Caenorhabditis elegans: one gene and its partners. The protein of the gene in region 4 purifies or fractionates together with the protein of the main gene of each other region. This does not show direct contact. Each region holds a gene or a part of one and is shown on either strand. Other genes may lie near its edges.

Region 1 (5,247 bases), on a different chromosome or scaffold from region 4:
AAAAACGGAAATTTAATATTTCTTTATATTTTTTTTGTTTTAGAAAATTGAATGTTTGAAAAATTGACAAACGGCGATTTAAATCAAATGTAGAAGACATATCAAGAAACCCCTCCAAAATTAGCCAGAAAAAGCGAAAATGCATAGAATGACGTCACTCATTCGCGCGGGAATTCAAATTTAATTCGGACGTTTTTTTTTTCAAATGGAAAAAAATTATTAAAAATTTAGAAAATTTTTAAAATTTTTTGACAGTTATATTTGGTTATTACGACCTATTTTCTGTGACTTAAACCCAAAAAAAATTTGAAAAAGCTCTTCTTCTCTTTTCAAAGTGGGGTTTTTTTCGAAACGTGTCCTGCAAAAAAATGTAAATTTCCAAAAAATCGTTTTTATTTCTCTTATTTTTCTTTTATTTTGAAATTTTAAATTTTGTGCTCTTTTTTATCACAATGCTCAAAGACCACCGATTTCCAATTCCCATATTATATTTTTGCTTAGAGACGTAAGCCTCAAATAAATAGACTTAGACTGTTAGAGACCTCGCTTTTTCCACTCAATTTTGTCGATTTTCGAATCCACCTTTTTCAATCTTCCAGAAATAAAATGCCACAATACAAGCTAACATATTTTGATCTACGTGGATGGGCTGAGCCGGCTCGACAGCTTTTCCATCTCTCGCATACTCCATACGATGATATTCGGATTCCAATGGCCGATACTGAAGGGAAATGGGAGAAAATGAGAGACAGTAAGTTCTTAAAGTGAAATGTGTTGCTTGTAGTTTGTAGTTTGTAGTTTGTAGTTACTGATGCCACACTTAATTTGAAAAAGTTTGAACTAAAAAACATTAAATTTCTTGGCTTTCGGGGAAAAATCTTTTTGTAGTTTGTAGTTTGTAGTTCGTAGTTTGTAGTCTGTAGTTTGTAGTTTTTAATTTGTAGTTTGTAGTTTGTAGGTGCTAGTTTGTAGTTTGTAAAAGGTTTTTTGGTACGAAAGTATTTTGAAAAATTAATTTTTGTCAAAAAAATAGTTTGTTACTTGTAGTCCGTAATTCGTATTATGTAGAATATAGGTTGTAGTTTGTAGTCTGCAGATTGTAGTTTGTAGTTTGTATATTGTAGTTTGTAGTTTGTAGCTTGTAGAAAGGATTAGATATTTCTGTTTTTTTTTCGTATAAATAGAAAGTCACTACATCCAGCTTTAGGGTTTCATAAGATCTTCAGGCGTACGCGCCTACTTTTTGCCTGCCTGCCTACGTGCTCTCCATTGTGACTTCTTGTTTAGCGCAGATTTCAAATATTTGTGTTAAGTATAAAATGTTCGATTACAAACTGAGAGTATGAACACACGATGGCAGACGTAGGCATGTAGGCAAGCGTGCCTACAAAGAAGACCTGCCATAATTAATTCAACTTCCAGAAACCCCATTTGGTCAGCTCCCAGTACTCAACGTTGATGGCTTCGACATCCCCCAATCTGCTGCAATTTGTCGATACCTTGCCAAGAAATTTGGTTATGCCGGAAAAACTCCAGAAGAAGAAGCGTGGGCGGACGCCGTTGTCGACCAATTCAAAGACTTCTCCGTTGCTTTTAAAACACTCCTTTTTGCCACAAGGGCCGGGAAACCAGAAGAAGAAATCCTCAAAATCCGCTACGAGATTTTCAATCCAGCTCGAGATGTCTACTTTATTCTTCTCAATCGAATTCTCAAAAAGAGCAAGTCAGGTTATTTAGTTGGTGATGGGCTCACATGGGCTGATCTAGTTATAGCTGATAATTTGCACAGTCTGGAGAAGCTTCGAGCCATCGATGATGATGATGAAGGACATCAGAATTTGAAAAAGTATAAGGAGAAAATCTATGGAACCCCAGATTTGGAGGATCATATTGCGACGAGAATGGATACAGAAGTCTAAATTTTGAATCGCGTTGAATTTTTAAAAACTGTGATAAAAGATAATAAACATATTGTAGTATTTTATGCGGATATTTTTTTACCGAAATACTTTTTTTTGAAATAATAGTGCGAGAAGTGCAACAGGGCTCCATATGATTTTTCAGTACTTTTGAATTTTTGAAAAAAACAGCTTTTGATGTATTTTCTGAACTTTTTAAAATAATCTTCCGTACAAGTTAGCAAATTTTATTTAATATTTTTTGGTATATTTTATCATGCTAAACAGTTTTATAAAAGAAAAATGAAGCACTTCATATGATTTTTCAGTACTTTTGAATTTTTGAAAAAAAAACAGCTTTTGATGCATTTTCTGAATTTTTCAAAAATTTTTCCAATTTTCTGACTTTTTGTTTTGTGACCAGTGTTTCTTCGCAAAAACACAAACCACTCTTCTATTTCTCTATTTCTCTCACTCTCCCTCCCCTCAATTTCGGAGATTTTCGAAACGACTTTGTGTATATAAAGTACTACTCAATCATCTCCCATCAACAAACAATGCCACAATACAAGCTCTACTATTTCAACCTTCGTGGATGGGCTGAGCCGGCTCGGCAGCTCTTCAAGCTGGCTCACGTCGAGTTTGAGGATGTTCGTATTGAGAATGGAACTCCAGAGTGGGGAGCGTTGAAGCCAAGTGAGTTTTTGAAACATTTTTAGTGGTATTTGTATAACTGTCACGGATTTTGAGAATTTTTTAAAAATCAGATACGGTGGTCCACTCTAAGCCTAAGCCTATGCCTCGGCCTATGACTATACCTAAGCCTAAGCGAAAGCCTAAACCTAAGCCTAAGTCTGAATCCCAACCCAGGAATCTTCCAGAAACCCCATTTGGTCAGCTCCCATTCCTCTCAGTCGATGGCTTCGAAATCCCCCAATCCGCTGCAATTCTCCGCTACCTTGCCAAAAAATTCGGCTACGCTGGAAAAACATCAGAGGAAGAAGCGTGGGTGGATGCAATCGTAGATCAATTCAAAGACTTCGTCACCCCACTACGCCAACTCATCATGGCTCAAAGATCCGGAAATGCGGAGGAAATCGAGCGAATCCAAAAGGAGGTCTTCGCGCCGGCCCGGGATACATTCTTCAAAATTCTTAATGGAATTCTTGAGAAGAGCAAGTCAGGATTCCTAGTCGGAGATGGTGTAACTTGGGCTGATCTGGTGATAGCTGATATTTTGACAACTATGGAGATGCTGGGAGTGTTTGATAAGCACGGAGAGGAGCAGAAGCTTGCAGCGCTCCGTGAGAAGGTTAATGAGATACCGGAGATCAAGGAGCACAACTCGTCGAGACCAGATTCTGTTGTTTGATATATTATGTGTATGTTAATAAAGATTATTATATCATAATGAGTGATTCTAAGGTAGGTAGGCACGCTTTCAGGCTGCCTACCACCTAAAAAAGATGGTTTTGACAGTAGGCAGTAGATCAAACGTATGTCTGTTAGAAGGCAAGTTATCTAGGCACGAGGCAGGTGTAGTTTGCCTTGAAGGCAAGCGGGCAGTCTGTGGCCTACGTAAAGGGTCTAACATAGACAGTAGGCATGGGTGTAGGCACAAAGAAGGCGTAAGTCACACCTGGGGAGTTTGCGATCAAAAGAAACATCCTGCCGTCAAATAAACCTATGCCTGGCTGCATGCCTTCCATACAAGCCTGACTAAATGCCTGCAAGGTAACCTATGTTTATCTGCATACCTACAAGACTGCCTATGCCTGCCTGCAAGCCTATGAAACTTTTGAACTTTTCGACAGAGATCATTCTAGAAATCCCATATTTTCGAACAAAAAAGTCATGTTTGTCATCATTTTTCCTACAAAAGACCATGAATCGTCGCCGCCATATCCAATTACAAATAAATCGAATTATCTTCTGAGATCAATATCAAGATGGCAGTGACCTCCCCGCCGCCATCGCATAAACCACGTTGTTTCCCCCCGTCGGGAAAAGAGAAAAGAGACGGAGACACGTGGCATGGGAAGTATAAAAGGGCGGACAGGGGGACACTGGCAGACGACTATCAGTTGTGTGTTGACTGTCTGTGATTGTGCTTGCTCTTTTGTACGATGGCCGAGTACAAGTTCTATTATTTTAACGGACGAGGATTGGGAGATGTTTCTAGACAGGTTAGTGTGGTGGCCTAGAAAATTGAATTGGTGGCCGAGTTTTTTCTAAAACTCGGTAACGTAGCAAATCACGGCACGATCAGCACGAAAATGTTATTTTTACGATTTTTCGACATTTTCAACGTGGCCTAGAAATCAAGGAAACTCGGCCACTTGTCCAAAGTGAGTACGTTTTTTTTTGTTGAAAATCCGCAACCTAGGAAGTTTTTCGGCTAAAACCATGACATAGAATACTGCTGGCCGAATTTTAGCTTTTTCTAGGCCACTTTGCTTCCAGGCCACCACGTGGTGTCAGGCTGTCCTATTACGGTTTGATCTACAATAAATGTGGGAATAAATTTTTTTTGCCCAAAAAAATGTGACGTTAGCACGTTCTTAACCATTAAAAATGCGTCCAAATTCCCGCGATTCTCGTAGATCTGCGTAGATCAAACCGAAATGGGACACTATGACACCACTTGGGCCGCGTTTGCAACAGTACTCGGTCTCGACACGGCAATTTTTGATAAATGAAAAAAGGTGTGCGCCTTCAAAGAGTCGATTTGTTAAAATGTTAGTGTTTTTTCGCAAAACAATGTGAAAAATCGATGAAAATACTACCGCCTGTTTCCAGTTACAGTACTCTTTACAGGTGCACGCCTTTTCGCAATCCACGTGGTGTCAGAGTGTCTCATTTTGTCTTGATCTACGTAGATCTACAAAAAATGCGGGAAGTTGAGACGCAGAGTTCTCAACTGATTTTGCATGGTTAAGAACGTGCTGACGTCACATTTTTTCGGGCGAAAAATTCCCCCGTATTTTTTGTAGATCAAACCGTAATTAACACATTGGCGCAAAAATCGCAAAATTTCCAGCTCTTCGCCCTATCCGGCACCAAATACGAGGATATCCGCATTGAGCATGCAGACTGGCCAGCTCAAAAACCCAAAATGCCCTTTGGCCAAATGCCCGTGCTCGAGCTCAGTTCGGGACTCCAAATCCCACAATCCATGGCGATCGCCAGGTACCTCGCCAAAAAATTCGGCTATGCCGGAAAAACCGACGAGGAGGCAGCGCTCGCCGACGCCCTCATCGATCAGTTCAAGGATTTCTACGCGGAGATCAAGCCATACTATTACGCGAAAATCGGCGTTCTTCAGAATGACACCGAAGAGGAGAAGAAG
Region 2 (5,357 bases), on a different chromosome or scaffold from region 4:
TGTTATTTAATTCATTAATCACTTTCAGTATAATTTAACTTTGGAATCTAAATATGGCGCCTCTTAAGAGAAGAAAAGTTTCGGTGAGTTAATAATCCTCATTAGAAAATTAGCAAAAGTAAAATTCAGGCTCCGACTGGAAATGAAAATACCCCAAGATCGACACGTTCCATTCGTCATAAGAGGGAAGATCCAAGAGGGAAGATGAAGCCACTTGCAACCAGTACTCGAACATCTTCGGTTAACAAGAAAAAAAAGAACGATGACGACTACGAAAACTTTTATTCTGGAGAGAACACTATAACGACTATGAAGCCAGTTGTATTCCCAAAAAAACCAGTGATTTTTGAGCACGGGTACGGAATTGAAGACGACATTGAAGACGAAATAGATGATGAAGAATTGGACGACGAAGAATATGAGGAGAGTGGAAACGGAAACGAAGATGAAGTTGAAGAGGAAGTCGGAGTGGAGGAGCAAGAAATTGAAAACAACTTCGCTTATAAAAAAGTCAAGAGTGAAATTTCGTGCTCGCCATTCCTTAAAGAGCATTCTGTACATTCTGTACTGACAAATAATCGCGCAAAAACTGGTACAATTGATTCAAAGGCTGGGCGCACAGCCTATCGAAAACAGAAACTTCGTGAAGGAACATGTTGCTCACAAAGCAATGAGGCAACCGGGGACAGCACAGACAGATCAAGTACCTCCGCGGGATTTGATGTTTTTCAGCATCTACAAAACAGAGCGGTCCAGAAAACTATGATTGGTAAGTCACATTGAAACTAAATCTTGAGTTTAAAGCAAATTGTAATTTTCAGAGCAACTGGAATCAGCGGTTCGAAATCAAGATGTTATGGAAATGGGCAACGTTGTGAAGAAGGGATTAGAAAATGGAACTCTTTCAGAGATCCAGATAGAGGTGCAAAATATCCAAAATATCCAAATATTTAATCTTAATATCTTAATTTTAAGGAATTTTGTAAACATACAACTCGTCCAAACTTCTCGATCCTACAGTTCGTCCAGGCTCTCAGACAATCTACAGAAGACGAGAAAGAGTCTATTCAAATTGCACAGATGATGATGGCAGGCCGTAATTAATCAATTTCATATCCTAATACTTTTTTCAGTTTAAAATGCAGGATCCTAAGGATGGGAATTACACCGCACTTGCAGCAAACGTGCACACCCTGACATCGAAAATTTCAAAGCAGTTGAACGCTGGATGTATCGTGAAACGAACACTTACGATGAACCACACAATTTCACAAGCTGACGGGTTTCCTACGTGTAATCTCACAGATATTTATAACTCTGAACTCTTGATTGGAGGTGATGCCGTCTCGCAACTTTCAAATTTCTATATGGTTGCCTTGAAAACTGTAAGTTGACATTTTGATATATAAAAATAATAAATTCAATTCAGATGCTGGAGCCTTCTTATAAAATCTGGGCATTTACTTACCGACCAAGCTGTGTTCGCCGTGTTGATAGACATTTTCAAGAGTTACCACAAAAAGTGACAACAGCGATTATTGGTGCGTTTAAGATGTGAACAATTTCTAATCACAAAATCATGTTTTTTTCAGAAGTCGCATTCGATATTGTTGGAGTTTATTTGCCGGTTGAGCTGTCATACGGTTCGATTGATAGGGAGCATGAGTAAGACATGAACCAACTTTAAACAATTTTGAATTATTCATTTCATTTCTTCTAGATTCATCAAAACGCTTGGAGAAGGAGCAGAACTTGAGGTTCAGCGCCGTAGGGACGAAAGAATCACAGTGTTCAAGAACGCAGTAGAAGCCCTTGGCAAAGCAATGTAAGAAATCTCGTAAAAATTGTAAAATGTAAAAAAAAATGATATGATTTCAGGAACAATCTTCGAACATATCACTTTGATATTGCCAAAGGAGCACTATTCAACTGCAATAAACCATCTTATTGCGAGCATCATCTCAAGTGGGGACAGGTTCGAAAGTTCAGAGAACAGCATCAGAGGATGGAAACGTCACCAGAAGAAGTTATCAGATTGTAAGTAACTCAATACTTTTAATCGATAAACCAATACATTTTCATTACAGTGCAACCGGTCAACGCAATGAGCATGATGTCTCCGCTGCTGGACGATCGGTCAAAGACTCCACCCACTGAAGCTTAATTTTTCGTTGTTTTTTTTTTGTAATTGATTTTTGTTGTTAACCCTGTTCATGTTTTGTCCTTAAATAAATATTTTCCACAGGAAATCGTCTAAAGAATAAAGTAAAAGCGCGGCATAATTCGCATCTATAATCACCAAGGTCTTGCCCAAGTTTAGCCCAAGTTTAGCCCAAGTTTTACCCAAGTTTTGCCCAAGTTTGGCCAGCTTCTAATCCATGTTAATTTTTCTTGGGTGAAACTTGGGCAAGAAGCTGGCGGTGAATGCCGAGTTCCCCGCAAAAGCTTCAGTTTTTAATTATTTGATCTACCACCTCTTGCACTTTCCCCTGCCACTCTCTCACCTGATACTAGGCCCCCATAAATTTTCAATTTTCTTCCATTTCTCACAAATTTTCTTATCAAAACCTTTTTTAATTTCTTATCAATTAAATAATCTTACAACAGACATCATACCAGAAAAACCAAAAAAAAAAAGAAAGTGCTCGCGGAGCTCACGTGGTTGGCTCGGGCAGCTGGGGGTGGAAAAGCTCGTCGCTGATAAGGGATCACTTTGTGATAAGACGATGATGATCGTGACCTGTTTCAAAGACGTTTTGCCACTTTCGACGCGAATTTTTGGGTTTTTTGGGGGAAAAATTTGTTGCATTTTGTTGAATTTTTAGAATTTTTTATTTACTTTTTTGGGAGTTTTTTCAACAAAAACCCGCCTGCTCACCTCGAAAATTTCCTTTCTTCGTCAGACCTTACTAATTTTTTTTCAGAACCTTCCCCAACTCCTACTATAAAATGAGCCCATCCGCCTCTGATAAGCCTCTCCCACCCCATCACGCTGAGCACATGGCCGAAGCTGTCGCAGAAGCTTGTCGAGGTGTCGAGTGTGGAGATGGTGGACCATTCGGTGCGGTTGTAGTTGATTCAAACGGGAAAGTGGTCGCAAAAGGCCACAATATGGTGCTGGTCACCAAGGATCCGACAATGCACGCCGAGATGACTGCTATTAAGAATGCCTGCAAGGCATTGGGTAGGCACACGAATATTTAGAGCATCTAGTGATAAATTGACATAACATTTGAATTTTACAACCTCGATTTCCTATATTTCTTAAAAAATTTTTTTGCGATTTTTAGGATTTTTTTTTTCAAAAAAAAAGTTGCAGAATTTTTTCTCGAATTAGAGCAAATTTTTTCACATAATTTTACAAGTTAGATAGTTTAAAATTATTTTTGAAAATTGAAAAAAAACAACGATTAACTATTTTTCTGTTAAAAAATGCTAAATTTTTTCGACGTTTTTTTTCGATAAGTTTTTAATTGAAATTCACGTTTTCAGGAACTTTTGACCTATCTGGACATATTTTGTACACATCTTGCTATCCATGCCCAATGTGCATGGGCGGATGCCTTTGGGCTCGATTCGACGCAATTTACTACGGAGCAACTGCTCAGCAGGTGATTTTCATAAAAACTAATTTTTTACACTATTACTGTCTCTTTAAGAGCTTTTATCAATTTTAGTGACGTTCGGGGTTATTTTTCAAACTTTGGGTTACTGTAGCACCAAAAGTACGCAATACACCGGACCTTACGGCAAAATCACAAACTTTTGAAATTTTACCGAATCTGTTCAAACCAGTTATAGACCTAATCTAGAAATTGCCTGTAAAAATCCATAATTTTGTGCATTTTCTCAAGTTCATTAATTTGTGGAAACCCTTGGAAAAAGTAATTTTCAAAATTTTTTACTAAAAAAATCGAATTCTGCACCTTTTTTCAGTTCAATTTAAAAAAAAACTGTGCATTTTGTCGTAAGCTTTGGTGCACTGCGTATTTTCGGTGACACAGTAACCCAAAAAAAAAAACCTTTTCCAAATAAAACAAGTTCTTCCAGGCGGCCGAGATTGGATTCGACGACAAAGCATTCCACGACTTCCTAAAAGACCCGAAAAGCGATGAAATCCGAAAATTGGAGCATTTGGCAGCCGACAACTACCTACTCCCATTCCAAATGTGGTCCAACAAACCGGACAAGACAGAATATTAATTGGAGTATTTTTTTGAAAATTGTTTCGTTAAATAAAATTTGAAAAACATATAAAAAGACAAATACATTGGGACGGTTGGGGAAAAATTGGCAAAATTGGCAAAATTTCAAACTTTTTTTAGGTAACTTTCAAAATCATTTGCTCGGATTTTGTAGCTTTTGGGTATTGAGATGTTCGATATCGATTTCCACCCGCCGGACGTTCAGTTTCAGCCACTTTCATGAAGTTATCGACCTGAAAATTAAAAAAAAAAATTAGAAGAAAATTTGTTTCCTGGCTATCAAATTTTCTGTTGAAAATCTTGTAATGTGCAGGGTTAGAATTGAAAAAAAAACGTTTTTAGTAAAGAAAAGTGCTCAAAGTTTTGTTTTTTCAGAGATATGACGCATTACGGGTTACTTGTGCCCTAAGAGTACGCGATACACCGAATCTTACGGCAAAACGCACAGGTTTTAAAACGTGGCGCCAATCTGTCCCATTGCGGTTTGATCTACAAAAAATGCGGGAATTTTTTGCCTAAAAAAATGTGAAGTCAACACGTTCTTAACCATGCGAAATCAGTTGAGAACTCTGCGTCTCGTTTCCCGCATTTTTTGTAGATCTAAGAAGATCAAGCCGAAATGGGACACTCTGACACCACGTGTTTACCCAAAAAGCATATTTTGCACAATTTTAAAGTTTTGTGCATGTTGTCGTAAGATTCGGTGCACTGCGTACTTCCAGAGCTACAGTAACCTGTAACTTCGCTAAAATCGTCATATCTCAACAACGATTGATTCTACTGAAAAGTTATCAACTAACAAATTGTTCTACACAAAATTTTGCACATTTTATTAGTTCTAAACTATTTTTTAAATTAAATACCTGCAAAGATACAAGAGTTTCAAAAAAAAAATTTTCAATGACACACCAGCGGAGCTAATTTGGTTTTTGTTTTCTATCAAAATTTTATTCTCAAATCACTATTGCATAAGCTTGTGTGAGTGAAAAATGCACATTTATTCATCAAAAAACACACGTTTTGCCATTTTCTCACGTTCTCGCGATTTCAGTGAGAATGCGACTTGAGCCTAAAGTACATTGTTGGAAAAGCTAATACATAAAAAAAATACTCTGAAAAATCACAAAACTCACTATAATTGTGATGGGCAAT
Region 3 (6,987 bases), on a different chromosome or scaffold from region 4:
GTTCAGCATAGTCAAGAATACCAGAATATGCCTATCAAATTATAATAGTTTGTACGGAAGTATTTTTTAAAAAATTGATAAAAATATATAAAAGCTGATTTTTTCAAAAATTCAAAAGTATGGGAAAATCATATGGAGTCATTCTTTTTTATCTCAAAAAACTGTTCAGCATAGTCAAAAATACAAAAAAGAATGACTCCTTATGATTTTCCAGGACTTTTGAATTTTTGAAAAAATCAGCTTTTATAAATTTTTATAAATTTTTTAAAAAATACTTCCGTACTAGCTATTATACTTTGATTAGCATATTCTGGTATTTTTGACTATGCTGAACAGTTTTATGAAATAAAAAAGAGTAGCTGATGGTGGAACGAGTTGAGCAGTTTCTGGAACCAGGACAGGCTGTTGAACATCTGGAACTGTTGGAGCTGGAGCCGGAACTTCTGGCTGTTGCTCGATTTGAGCTGGTGTTGCAGCAGGAGCCGGAACAGTTGGTTGTTGCTCATCAGCGTTGGGATGAACTTCTTTTCTTAGTTTTTGTCCTAGTAGAACGAGTGCTTCTAGTACTTCATGTGCTTTTTGGAGCATCATTTTCATTATTTTGCAAGTAAAAATCGGTTAAATTTTCCTTTTTAATCCTTGAATTTTTATTCAGGAAATGGTTGTCATGGAAACAGATAAGCTTATATATTCATCACATTAAATTCAACTTTTAAATAGAAAATAATGCTTTTTATAGGTATTCATAGTCTACTTTTTCGCGAGAACTGGAGCAAAGTTGGTGGTGGGTTTTACTTTTTCTTAATTCAGAAAAAAAAATTTTCAGGTGTCGAATATGAGGGAAATCTGAAAATAAAAGTGGAAGTTGTTGGAAACAAAGCGAAATTATCGGAAAATGGTGAATTTTTGTATAAATTTTTAAATACTTTGTATAATAAAATGTGAATTTTTGGTACCGATGATTCAGATTCCGGGCAGATGAATTTTTAGCAGCTTCAGTATTGGGTTTTTGAGATTTGAGATGTTTCTGCCTTCTTCCTATATTATACTGTAGGAGTACTGTATGTGATAAACGGTAGGGTACTGTAGGTGGTAAACGGTAGGTGTACTGTAATTTTTTGTTCAAAAACTTTTTTTTTCCCTCTCATAACTTTGCCGTCGTTTGAGCTATTCTGATTCTGAGCCAAATATATGAAACCTTGAAGATTTCTTAAGCGAGAGACGAAAAAAATTTTGAAAATCGAGTCATACATCACAGAGATAATCGACCGAATAGAAAAATAATGCCTTTTTTGATTTTTGATTTTTCAACTTTGAGCGTTTGTTAATTGGTTTGTTTAAGTTTAATTTTAATTCTGTTTTTTTTAATAGACTCAGAATTTGACGCTGAATTCAAATATGTAAGATTTTTTTCCAGCTTTAAAAATGAAAAAGTTATGAAAAAAAACTAACATTTCATCTCCTCATCAAAGTTTTCGAAATATCTTTTATGTTTTTACATTTTCTTTTTAAAATTGAAAAATCTTTTCAGCATATTTCTTTCATCTTAGAGAAACTGAAAATTCAGCGCCCAGGGCGCTAAATAATTATTCAAAATTTTTAAATTAGAAACAACTCCTTAGCATATTCCATCAATCTTAGAAATAGTTCAAATCAGCGACGAAGGCGCTGAATAAGTCTTCAAAGTTTTAAATTAGAAACAACTCCTTAGTATGTTTCTTTATTTCAGAAACTTTGAAAAATTCAGCGCCGAAGGCGCTGATAACTCTTAGGAATTTTTGAATTTAGAACAACTCCTTAGAATATTTTTCTAATCTTAGAGAAGATTCAACTTAGCGCCCAAATAATTTTTAAGAATATTTCAATGTGAAACAACTCCTTAGAATATTTCTTTAATCTTAGAGGAACTGAAAACTAAAGCGCCGGAGCCGCTAAATGATTTTTCAAAATATTAAATTAGAAACAAATCTTTGGAATATATTTTGAATTTCAAGGTGAACACACTTAACCCCAACACAGGTTTGAGGCAAAGCCGAGAACCTGCGCCAGCTACCTTGTTGATACTTTAGAGCGAAATAACCCTATCCCCACTCCCGAAGGGATAGCGCACTTTGTGCGCTAGTCTTAAAAATTTTTTTTTTAATTGAAGGTTTACAAACAAATTTGAACTTTTAAAAAGCTTTGCTATGTAGGAAAAAGGATACTCAATTCAAGAAATGGTATGTAGAAAAATCGATTTAAAAAAAGTTTTTTGATTTTTGATTTTTAATTTTAAAAGTTTAGTCCCAATAATTCAATAAAGTTTTTCCAGAAATAGAGCAAATTCGAAAAATAGCTGAGCTAATGGGCAATCCAACGGAACCGGACGAAGTTTCGGATGAAAAAGACGATAGTTCTGAATCAGACTACTAGTTGCTGAAAAAATAATTTATAAGTTTATTTTAGTCACATTGTTGATAGTTATAAATATTTTTTTGAAATAAAAAAAACCAAAAATGTGTTTTTTGCACTGAAAATGTTGCGTTGGCTCAGTTGCAGGGTAAACCCATCAATTCATAACTTCAGCAAGAAGTCCAAATTGTGTTAAGTTCGAGATCCCTTTAGAAAGCAATCTTGCACTTATTTTACTTTTTCTTAAATCTACAGTTCAAATTATTAAACAAAAATATCTGAAATCAAGAAAAGTTTATCTTCACGGATGCTGAAAGTTTATAGACTTGTGGAAGTGTTCTATGATCACTTCTCATGTTGCACTGAGTGGACTTTGGAGACGTGCATAAAGCGCATGACTCTAACGCCCACGCGGCCTCTGAGCAGGGAGCGTCACGCCCTCACGAGTATATAAGCCGACTAGAGAATAACATCCTCAGTCGAGAAAGACCTTGCCTGCTGGCGCCGGACGAAAGTAAGACTCTCGTCGTCTGGCACAGCAACGACTCAATAAATGCTTTAGCACACAATCAAAGTGTTTTTGCATGATGTTTAACCATAAGCTGTGGCACCGGTTTATGACCGTTAACAGACTCCTCCAGTATATAAGGTTGTCCAAACAACTTAATTTTTCATATTTTGTGCAACACTATCTTGCTGAAATGAAAGAAACCGGCCCGTGTTGTTACATTCTGCTCATTTTAATTTTTCCGCCAATCGCCGTCTACGTGAAAGAGGAAAGATGCTCTCTGTCAGTTTGGCTCAACCTTTGTTTCTGCATCCTCTGCTGGTTTCCGGGGGTGCTTCATGCTATAGTCGTCTGTTTCTGCTTGAATTATTTATTTTATTTACTTACTATCAAGAAATGAATTCTTGAGATTAATTTATTTAGAAGAATATAATACTGAATTACAATTAAAGAGAAGAAAAGGGGAAGATAGCGGTCTACATCTAGAAAGGAAGCATTGGTATTATATAATATAATATAAAAGAAGGAACTTATATAGGTCTGTTTTTAATCGAATTATAATGATATTGGGGTTGGCGTGAATCATATGAATAGGAAAAGAAGGGAAACGTTTTGGTTTGAATCATAAGGATCAAATATCATATTCAAAGAGGGAAAGATTTGACACTTACATACAATTAGATTAATTTTTCCATGTACAGATTATCTCAGACCACAGGATATGTAGTTGCTGACTAACATTTCACTGCTAATGTGTAAGCGGCCACTGATTGAATATTGTGGGAGAATTAAAATTTGGACTCTGAATGAAATTGCTTCATAATAAAGCAAAAAGTTATCCAAATTTCTATATTTATCATGTTTTTGGATACTGTAGTTAAAAGGTATAAACGCTTTATATTATATTTTAGTTTTCAAAATACATATATAGGGAAAGCCTCATGCAAATTTGTCTAGAAAAATGATTTGAAATTGTTCAAGAAGTATGAAAATGTTAAAAAGCGTACAGTTAAACAAATTTAAGATTTTGGAATTTGTCAATCAGTAGGTTTATATTAATCTTAAAAATGATAAAATCTGCAAACCCGGATTTTAAAATAATATAATAAAAAAATAATAAAAATTTTAAATAATATAATACATAAAACTATAGAACAATTTCCAGAGAACTGTTTAGATTTTTTGTTGAATAGAAAGTTTCCACAGAAAATTTCAAAAACCGCCTTTGGAGCAATTTAACTGGTAAAACACGGAGCTAATAGTAAGCAAAAATTTCAAATTTTTTCACAAAATTTCAATCACAAATATTTTCTAAAAAATGTTAAAAATAAAACAAAAAATTACTAATTTAAATTGCTTTGTTACGTGACACATTTTATGATGACAAACATACTTGTTTATCAGACATGAAATCTCAATCTCAGTTATTTTATATTTTTAATGGCAAACAAGAAGAGTACGAGTAGCTGCTATGAAAAGCCAATCGCTCAGAAATTATTTTATGGATTAGCTGTAAGTTTTTGGATGCCTCCGAAACCGAAATCCGAAACCGAAAAAAAAAGAGAGTTTTCAGGACCATCCAAATCACGGTGTATTTTCGTCGATTCTGAAGAAAAAGAATCGCTTGTTTTCGATGACTGATGACGTGAAGAAGCTTTGCAATCAAGTTGAAGCTTATAAAGAAGCCGCAGATCGACTTCATCAGGCACTGATTCAAATGTTCGTTGAGAATCAGGAACTTATGAAAGCTGATACGAATTATCAGTACGCTGGGCAGTATCTAAAGACGTATCAGGCGATAAATCAGAAAGGAAGAAAGTTGGGTACGAAGGTTGACCCCAAAGAAATGGATGTGAGTTTAGTTGCAGAATTGATCAGAAAAGTGACGCGACATTCAGTTTCTAGAGCGAATCCTGTTGAAAATCGAGGAAGTTGGAACGACTTTTTTGCACCTAAGAAATTTGGTATATTTTCTAGGCTTGGATTTTTAGGCTTAACAATTTAGGCTAAGGGCTTTTAAATGTTAAAATGTAGGCTTAGGCTTTTCAAATAAACCATTTAAGCCCAGGTAATCAGGCTTAGGCTCCCCAATTTTTTGGCTTATGGAATGGCACCTGATAATAAGGACACAAATTTCAGAGCTTAGAACCGGCTATCCAAACCTTGCTCAATCTGGATTCCATACAAGCAAAGCAAGTCCAAAGGCATCTGGAAAACTTGTCGGCGTTGACAAAATTCATTGGCGTCGACTATTGGGAGTACGCAAGGCTTCGAAAGAGTAAGAATAAAAGGGTCTATAATATGAATCTAAATAAAAAATTTCAGTTTATTGGCTCTCGCTGGAAACCTACGACGACGCAATCAGTCAGCAGAATAAGGAGCGAACGGAGCAAGCCGAACTCGCGGCGGGAAATGCTCAGACATGGAGGAATGAGTGCAGACAGAAGGTTATTGACTTTATCAATAAGTCGATTAATGAGCAGAAGGGGAAACACGCGGATGCAGTTTTGAAGTAAGTTTTGGAACTACTCCCCGAAAAAAAAAAATTTTAAGGTTTCGTGACGATTCAATTCTCTTCCACAAATCCATTGCTGAAGCTATCCCAATATTTGATGATAGAGCACTGCCAAAGAGTAAAGAAAAGCCATTGAAATCCAAATGAAACTTGTCCGAATAAAGAATTATGTGATTTTTATTGCTTGCAACTTCAAATGTGTTATATTTGATTTTAGTCATCAGTTTACAGCCACATCAGCCACAAGGCACCCCTGATTCCACCAAAAGGTGCGCGGCGATTGCCGACGGGTAATTCTACAATTTCAGGCAGAGATGTGTTTTCCCAATATTTTTCATTAAATTTTAGTGAAAAGATGTAGAAACTATGTGATCTCTCCCATAATAACGCAATTGCCGCGCAACCCGGATTCTATCCCTCTCCATCGCCTCAACATTCGCCCGCTATTTCACTTTTTTCGAATGGCATTTTGGAAACGTTTTTTGAATAGCTAAGGTTGCTATGGGGTGGCTCATCACGTCCCACACAACACCCCTAGCTTTAACAATAAATTTACGCTGAAAACAGAACAGAAATGAATCACATTTTATTCTCTCAAGTGCTATAGTCTACTTCAGTGCTTCAACCTTCTCGACATTATTTCTCCTTTTTTCCATCTTTCTTCTTATCCAATTTGTTTGACTTGCAAGCGACTGGTTCCTGCAGAGTTTCTCGAATTTCAGCCAATTTTTGTAGTCCCGCTTTGTACCAGTGTTCTCTTCTGTCATCTGGACAAGTCAATCGCGTAGATGTATAGAATTTCTGGAAAATGTCGTGATTCTCAATCCAAGATTTCATCCATGCAGTTTCCAACGCAGCGATCGGGATCATTGTGAACGTGTTTTCCTGGAAATTATAAATGAAATCCAGAACTAGGAACCGCAATAGACTTGATAGTAAAACTCCAGTAATAGGACTCATTTCAAAAAAATGTTGAACTTACATCTGCAACCAACTTCAAGCAAACATAGAGTGCAAACTCAATCTGTGCAGTCGCTACCAAATCAATTGATCTTGTTTTCTGAGTTCCCATCCAAGATCCAGCGATCGGAAGCATCGAGTCCAAATTCAGGGAGCTTCCCATGATGTGCATCAATGTGTCAATCACTGAAAAATCATTTCATAGATAGGTACTAAAAGGAAAAAAAGTTCCCGGCTTCCCTACCTCTCACCCGGAAAATTCAATAAATGAGAAATCAGTAAAGACGAGAAAAATTATATAAAGAGCAATTGGCTAATAAATCATTTTTCTAATATTTCAAGTGTTTTCAACCTTGCATCTCATTTTTCCGGAGCCGTTAAATAAAACTAACATGGTAAAATAGTCGCTCTTGTATCAACATTTCCCGCAACAATTCCTACATTAGCATACTCGTTATCACTGGACGTTGATTCATACATCTTCGCAAACGGAACTAAATTAAATGAAACAAATCCATGTGGCATATTCTCACACTTCCAGTAGAGGAAACTATGATTACTAAAATTTGAATTAGGAATTTGTGAATATTGTTGGAAAAATGTACACACTCTT
Region 4 (6,995 bases):
AATCTTCTGGAATTAGCACCTCTGCGATTTCTACTTATAAAACGGTACTAAATTCCTTCATATTTCCATTCAAACCATATTTTTCAGTACTTCAACTTTGCGATTTTCATAGCAAGCAAACTGAATGACAAGACAATGTTAACCGGGTACATTGATAATTTCGGATACTCTACTGGCCTCAATGATCATGAGAATTATCCGACTGATCATTATAATAATTTGAATAACATACCATTCCCAATTGACGGCACTGACGATAATATCGATCTAGATTTGAAAGAGTTAGTTTTAAAGTTGCAGTTTTGAAGTGCGCCCGACATTTTCCGGGTTCATTGTTCTAAAAATTTAAGCGTTGACGGATCTCTAGCAACTGCTTCTTGGACTCCACCAGTCGCAGATCAAACATGCATGATATTTATATCAGCTGCGTGAGTTTTTGTGAAATTGCACTGAAAAACTGATTTTTTGCTGAAACTTCCATTTTCCAGCCCAGAAGCCGAATACGGTGGTACCACAATCAAATCCACCTACACCTCCTTTGGTACAGTAGTCGGAGTACTGGTTGGTGGAGCCACTTCAATTCCTGGGCTCTCAATTGACACAAATGTGATTGCTGCTCCAGCGTTGTCGGATTCGGACGCCGATGCTGTTGTGAGCAAGCTCCTGGAGCTTTTGCTTTGAGTTTAAGCCTGTAAAACTATTTTGGAATAAAATTGTTTATACTATTCAGTCCAACCTTTGATACGTGGCCGCTAAAAGAGCATAGTTCGGCCATCAGTTGATTTTTACAAAACCATAAGTTCCATTACATTTCAAAGTACTGTTTGGCTCTCAATTTGCACGTAGCTAGTGCGATGAGGAATTTTCCTCTGACTGCCCTAACTAAACTCTATCGTGGTTTTTAACCCGCTTTTTCGAGCTTCTTATCAATTCCTCTTTCTTTTTTTCTTTTCTCGTAATATTACCATCCCTTCCAGCAATTTTGAAAATGAAACAATTTCTACTAATTTTACTATTTTTTACTTCTTTAGCTGCTGCCCAACAGTGTTGGGATAGTTCAGATAGACTGATCAACGGGAGGTTAGTATTTTAACGGAAAATTGTAAAATAAGCTGTTAAGTTCTATAATTGAGAAATAAATTGTTTAAATATATGCAATGCAAAAATTAACTTAAAATAAATGTTTCAAGCTCGAGATACGAAAATATTTTTTTTAATTCCAAAAAGTTGAAAATCTGATAACTATTGTGTTTTTTCAAGTGTACTTTGAGAGTAGTAGGCACAAAAATTGTGAGTAGGCGCGTAGGTAGGCAGGCAGGCCGTGCCTACTTGGATGGCACACCGTATGTTTCGTGTATTTTCAGATGCTATAAACTTGTCAACCAACAACTTTCCTACCAGGACGCCCGGTCCTGGTGTCGTTACCAGAATTCCGTGGTATCATATTTGGCAACTGTTTCGGATCAAATAACGGCGAGCTTTTTGGCATGTAAGGTTTTTGAGAGTTAATGAGTGGTTATAGGTAGGCATGAAGTAGGTGTCAAGGTAGGCGCGTGAGGTGGGTACAAAGGTATGCAGGCATGAGGTAGGTAGATGTGATGTAATCGGGTGCGGTGGGTTTGTAGGTATTTAGGCATGATGTAGGTTTGAAAATACACCATTAGGCTAAAAATAGACACGTAGTTTTGCTTACATGAGGTAGGCATAAAGTATCCAGGCATGATCTAGGCACAAAATAGGTACATAGGGGGGATGCAGGCCTGAGATAAATAGGCGTGATGTAGTCAAGTGCTGTTGGTTAGGAGGTATCCTGATGTTGTCACGAAAGTACACTAATAGGCACGTAGGTTTGCATACATAAGGTAGGCATAATATACATGAGCAGGCATGATGTAGGCATAAAGTAGGTACAAAGACAGACAAGCATATGGTAGGTAGGCATAAAGTAGGTATGTGAAATTGGTGTAGAGCTGACGCATAGGTAGACCTGAGTCATGAAGTAGGTACGTAGGTATGCAGATATAAAGTAGGTAGGCAGAATGTAGGCATGAGATAGGCATCAAGTAAACCGGTAGGTAGGCTCGTAGGTAAGGCCATAGGTAGACTACAAATCCAATTTTCAGCGTACGCCGTCACCGCATTTGGCTCAAACGAGGGAAGCTTCTGGATTGGTCTAAGCCGCTCAAGTTCCACATACAAATGGGATGACGGAACTCCCCTAGGCTGGACCAATTTCAATTATCAAAATTCTCAAGACTACGTGGCCGAAAGTGTGACGAATGCCAAATGGACCGCCTACAACAGTGAAACAGAACTGAAATTCGTGTGCTCCTACTATCCACTGATGCCAACCACTAACTTGGCGTCGTCTACAGATGCACCGCGTACTACAGAGGCATCTACTTATTGGACTTCCGAGACACTGACATCGTCGAGCACTTAAAGTCTACGGCCAACACCCATATTTTCCAAATTTCAAATTTTCTTATCAATGCTTCCTGTTACTTATCACCCAATATTATTACTTTTTCTGAAAAATTTTTCAGTTTTATTTTGTCATGAAAAATCTCATTTTACTTACCTTTTCCTCATTTTTCGCTATTTCTCATTGTCAGGCACAAAAGTGCAGTGATGATTCGGACAATTTAATTAACGGAAGGTAATCTAAATTTCAAAATTTTCAACAGAAAAAAAAAATCAATAATCAGATGCTACAAACTGGTGACTCAACAGCTCACCTACTCGGATGCTCGTGGCTTTTGCCACCAGGCGGACCCGGGGTACACTCTGGCTACGGTATTGGATAAGTCGACGGCTAATGTTTTGTCAGGTAGGGTAGAGAGGGTTTAGGGGCCTGCCTGCCTACCTACCTGCCTATTGCCTATGTGTCTTCATTTTGGCCCGATGCACGACTTCAACAAAAAAAAAAATTAGTTTTGTGTACAAATTTTGTAATTTTGAATTTCACGCCAAAATTTAATTTCAATTTTTTTAAACTTTAAACTTTGAACTAGGACTCCCAGCTGAGTAGGACGTGAAATGCGGGTGCAATGATGTACGAAAGGTAGTTATTTGGAGCGGCCGACATGTTCGGGGTTCCGCGCCGCACTATACATTCGACAACATGCGGCGTGGGATCATAGAAGCCCTTCTTTGTACCACAGTTTTTATTTTCCAGAAGTTTTCGAAATTTTACAATTCTAAAAAGTTTTAAAAACTTTCCAAATTCGCGTCAAGTGTTCACAAAATTCTATGAAAAATTTTGAATCTTGCGCCAGAATTCAGACAAATTTGAAATTTACCTTGTTTAAGCATGAAAAAGTTTATTGGTTTTTTCGAATCGCTTCAACATTAAAAAAACAATTTAAAAAAAAAACCAAAAATGCCTCTATTTTTTGGTTTTTTTAGTTGGAAAGCTACGCGAAAAAAAAATATTCAAAATTTTCGAACAAGTTTCCTTAAAATTCAAAAAAAAAACGTTAAACTCCAAAATTTCCAGTCCTCGCCCATTCCGTGTTCAACTCCAGCAACGGTGGGCAATTCTGGATTGGTTTGAGCAGAAATTCCACCGGGAGCCCATGGACATGGGATGACAAAAGTTCCTTCGGCTGGTCAAATTTCGGAACTCAACTAGGCCAAAACTATGTGGCACAGAGCAGTACGAACTCCAAATGGGGCACATTTGGTAGTACTGATAAGAATTATTTCGTTTGCAGTTATGACCCAGCTAGTGTGCCTACCACTGCGAAACCTTGTGGGTTTAATACTTGGAAACACTGTCAGAAAATATTTGAAATATTACCTACTTACAGTATCTTCTGTAACATGTCTAATTATGTATGACACACAGTCTCTCGGAATTGATCAAAATGCAATTAATTCTTATAAAGCGGTACGAAATCTTTTAGCGTTGTATTTAAACATTGGTGGTTCATATCTTAAGCGTATTTAAAATAGGGAACAAATATCAACCAACAAAAGTATTTGTTGTCGATTTTTCTATATTTTGATGATCAAAATATTTTGTAGCTTAAAAATAAGATATGATATGAGCTGTCAAAGTTGATAGGTTGATGCACCATGTGTAGAAACTAGTAACTAGGCTCTTCAATAACTTTTAACTAACATTCATAGCTATTCGTTTTGCTATGTCCTAATAGTAGAAACTTTGCTATAGCTCAAAAATAAACAACGATAGGCACCGGTGTGAAATCTAGTGTTTTCAATTTCGGGCCTTTTTTATCTCGATTCTTGTGAAATGTATCAAATAATTGTTACCAACCCAACAAATTATTGATCATTTGTTGTTATTTTTATTTTTAGAATTTGACATTTTTCGCTAGCATTAAAATTACACAAAACATGAGCCACAGAAGTTGAGCGGTCGATGCAGAATGTTAGAAGTCTAGTGTGCTCAGGCTCAAAGTCTGATGCCTCCAAATTTATTGAAAAAGTATCATCAACTGATAAAATATTTATGAGTTATTATTCTATCATTTAATAGTAAAATGCGATATTAGCTGTCAAAGTCGAAAGGTCGATGCACCAAGCTAAAAATCTAATGGGTTCAACTATGTAGTTACTAAAGTAAAACAATACATCAGAGATTTACTAACTTTTCAGTACTTCAACTTTGCCCATCTTGTCGCTAGCAAACTGAATGACAAGACAATGCTAACCGGCTACATTGACAATTACGGGTACTCTGCTGGGCTTAATGATCATCAAAACTACCCTACTGATGATTTTTTTGATTTAAGAGGAATTCCGTTCCCAATTGACGGCACTGACGATGATATCGATTTAGATCTGAAAGAGTTAGTGGGGATTATTGTCCTTAAAAGTAACAATCGTTTGAAATTCAGTGTCGACGGATCTCTAGCAGCCGCTTCTTGGACCCCACCAGTCACAGATCAAACATGCATGATATTTATATCAGCTGCGTGAGTTTTCGTGAAATTGGACTGACAACCAAATACTTATAAGCTCTCATTTTCCAGCCCAGAAGCCGAATACGGTGGTACCACAATCAAATCCACCTACTCCTCCTTTGGTACAGTAGTCGGAGTACTGGTTGGTGGAGCCACTTCAATTCCTGGGCTCTCAATTGACACAAATGTGATTGCTGCTCCAGCGTTGTCGGATTCGGACGCCGATGCTGTTGTGAGCAAGCTCCTGGAGCTGTTACCTACAGCTTAACTATTTTTTCCAAATTTACTTGGTGTACCGAGAAAATAAAGATCCTTCTGTCCAATTGAACATGTGCCAAATTGCGTATATTAATATATCAAAAGATATCAATCACAGTTGTGTTCTAATACACAGAAATAACTTGAAATTTGAAATATTCCCGATAAAACAAATTAATAAAAAAGGCCACATTTTTTGGTAAAAAAATCAATTTGAAGTTTAAAAAAAAAAAATCTTCGTAAAAATATGTCATTACCAGAAAACTTGCCATTTTAGATACCAATTGCAATTTTGTTCTAATACACAGAAATAACTTGAAATTTGAAATATTCCTGTTTTTTTCAATATGCAACTAATCATTAAAAATTTTGAAATTATTTTTGGTTGCTCATATTTGTGCAGACAAAAAGTGTCCTAGCAATAAAAATTGCAAATTTTTTGTATTTTCAGATGAGTGTACAACCGTTTCTGTAGCTACGATATTCATTTCAAAAAACCCGAAAGTTGTAAAATAATGAGTAAAGTAAAATAATTGGTGAAGCCAGAGAGTAAAATAATTGGTGAAGCCAGAGAGTAAAATAATTGGTGAAGCCAGAGAGTAAAATAATTGGTAAGGCCAGAGAGTAAAATAATCGGTGAAGCCACAGAGAGTAAAATATAGTGGGAAGTCACAGAGAGTAAAATAATTGGTGAAGCCACAAAGAGTAAAATAATTGGTAAAGCCAGAGAGTAAAATAATTGGTGAAGCCAGAGAGTAAAATAATTGGTGAAGCCACAGAGAGTAAAATATAGTGGGAAGCCACAGAGAGTAAAATAATTGGTGAAGCCACAGAGAGTAAAATAATTGGTGAAGCCACAAAGAGTAAAATAATTGGTAAAGCCACAGAGAGTAAAATAATTGGTGAAGCCACAGAGAGTAAAATATAGTGGGAAGCCACAGAGAGTAAAATAATTGGTGAAGCCACAGAGAGTAAAATAATTGGTGAAGCCACAGAGAGTAAAATAAATGGTGAAGCCACAGAGAGTAAAATAAATGGTGAAGCCACAGAGAGTAAAATAATTGGTAAAGCCACAGAGAGTAAAATAATTGGTGAAGCCACAGAGAGTAAAATATAGTGGGAAGCCACAGAGAGTAAAATAATTGGTGAAGCCACAGAGAGTAAAATATAGTGGGAAGCCACAGAGAGTAAAATAATTGGTGAAGCCACAGAGAGTAAAATATAGTGGGAAGCCACAGAGAGTAAAATAATTGGTGAAGCCACAGAGAGTAAAATATAGTGGGAAGCCACAGAGAGTAAAATATAGTGGGAAGCCACAGAGAGTAAAATAATTGGTGAAGCCACAGAGAGTAAAATATAGTGGGAAGCCACAGAGAGTAAAATAATTGGTGAAGCCACAGAGAGTAAACTATAGTGGGAAGCCACAGAGAGTAAAATAATTGGTGAAGCCACAGAGAGTAAAATATAGTGGGAAGCCACAGAGAGTAAAATAATTGGTGAAGCCACAGAGAGTAAAATATAGTGGGAAGCCACAGAGAGTAAAATAATTGGTGAAGCCTCAGAGAGTAAAATATAGTGGGAAGCCACAGAGAGTAAAATAATTGGTGAAGCCACAGAGAGTAAAATATAGTGGGAAGCCACAGAGAGTAAAATAATTGGTGAAGCCTCAGAGAGTAAAATATAGTGGGAAGCCACAGAGAGTAAAATAATTGGTGAAGCCACAGAGAGTAAAATATAGTGGGAAGCCACAGAGAGTAAAATAATTGGTGAAGCCACAGAGAGTAAAATATAGTGGGAAGCCACAGA

Evidence for each region.
Region 1: the proteins of clec-80 (region 4) and gst-24 fractionate together in Caenorhabditis elegans (co-fractionation; one large-scale study listed by BioGRID). This does not show direct contact.
Region 2: the proteins of clec-80 (region 4) and gda-1 fractionate together in Caenorhabditis elegans (co-fractionation; one large-scale study listed by BioGRID). This does not show direct contact.
Region 3: the proteins of clec-80 (region 4) and Y37F4.1 fractionate together in Caenorhabditis elegans (co-fractionation; one large-scale study listed by BioGRID). This does not show direct contact.

What each region holds. Positions count from the first base shown.
Region 1 is NC_003280.10:13,608,503-13,613,749, reverse strand, and holds gst-24 (glutathione transferase), read left to right. Parts: upstream 1-2,383; 5' UTR 2,384-2,455; coding exon 2,456-2,594; intron 2,595-2,779; coding exon 2,780-3,270; 3' UTR 3,271-3,307; downstream 3,308-5,247. Other genes in the region: gst-15 (glutathione transferase), read left to right, coding at 607-751, 1,423-1,919; gst-20 (glutathione transferase), read left to right, coding at 4,025-4,084, 4,939-5,247.
Region 2 is NC_003281.10:11,024,134-11,029,490, reverse strand, and holds gda-1 (CMP/dCMP-type deaminase domain-containing protein), read left to right. Parts: upstream 1-2,924; 5' UTR 2,925-2,949; coding exon 2,950-3,184; intron 3,185-3,492; coding exon 3,493-3,611; intron 3,612-4,050; coding exon 4,051-4,203; 3' UTR 4,204-4,252; downstream 4,253-5,357. Other genes in the region: Y48A6B.8 (Wsv161), read left to right, coding at 54-83, 130-769, 822-922, 976-1,089, 1,134-1,385, 1,430-1,541, 1,593-1,665, 1,721-1,825 and 2 more; putative voltage-gated potassium channel subunit kvs-4, read right to left, coding at 4,322-4,438, 5,339-5,357.
Region 3 is NC_003279.8:10,855,209-10,862,195, forward strand, and holds Y37F4.1 (BAR domain-containing protein), read left to right. Parts: upstream 1-2,878; 5' UTR 2,879-3,437; intron 3,438-3,600; 5' UTR 3,601-3,783; intron 3,784-4,303; 5' UTR 4,304-4,339; coding exon 4,340-4,411; intron 4,412-4,472; coding exon 4,473-4,751; intron 4,752-5,038; coding exon 5,039-5,177; intron 5,178-5,224; coding exon 5,225-5,411; intron 5,412-5,452; coding exon 5,453-5,561; 3' UTR 5,562-5,590; downstream 5,591-6,987. Other genes in the region: Y37F4.4 (Signal recognition particle-docking protein FtsY), read right to left, coding at 301-591; Y37F4.2 (Sec-independent protein translocase protein TatA), read left to right, coding at 727-784, 827-898, 2,312-2,412; Y37F4.5 (START domain-containing protein), read right to left, coding at 6,051-6,299, 6,397-6,560, 6,767-6,933, 6,984-6,987.
Region 4 is NC_003282.8:2,822,818-2,829,812, forward strand, and holds clec-80 (C-type lectin domain-containing protein), read left to right. Parts: upstream 1-2,546; 5' UTR 2,547-2,558; coding exon 2,559-2,659; intron 2,660-2,708; coding exon 2,709-2,830; intron 2,831-3,499; coding exon 3,500-3,754; intron 3,755-3,812; coding exon 3,813-3,892; intron 3,893-4,623; coding exon 4,624-4,817; intron 4,818-4,865; coding exon 4,866-4,943; intron 4,944-5,000; coding exon 5,001-5,199; 3' UTR 5,200-5,252; downstream 5,253-6,995. Other genes in the region: Y54G2A.37 (C-type lectin domain-containing protein), read left to right, coding at 1-44, 88-281, 351-428, 489-681.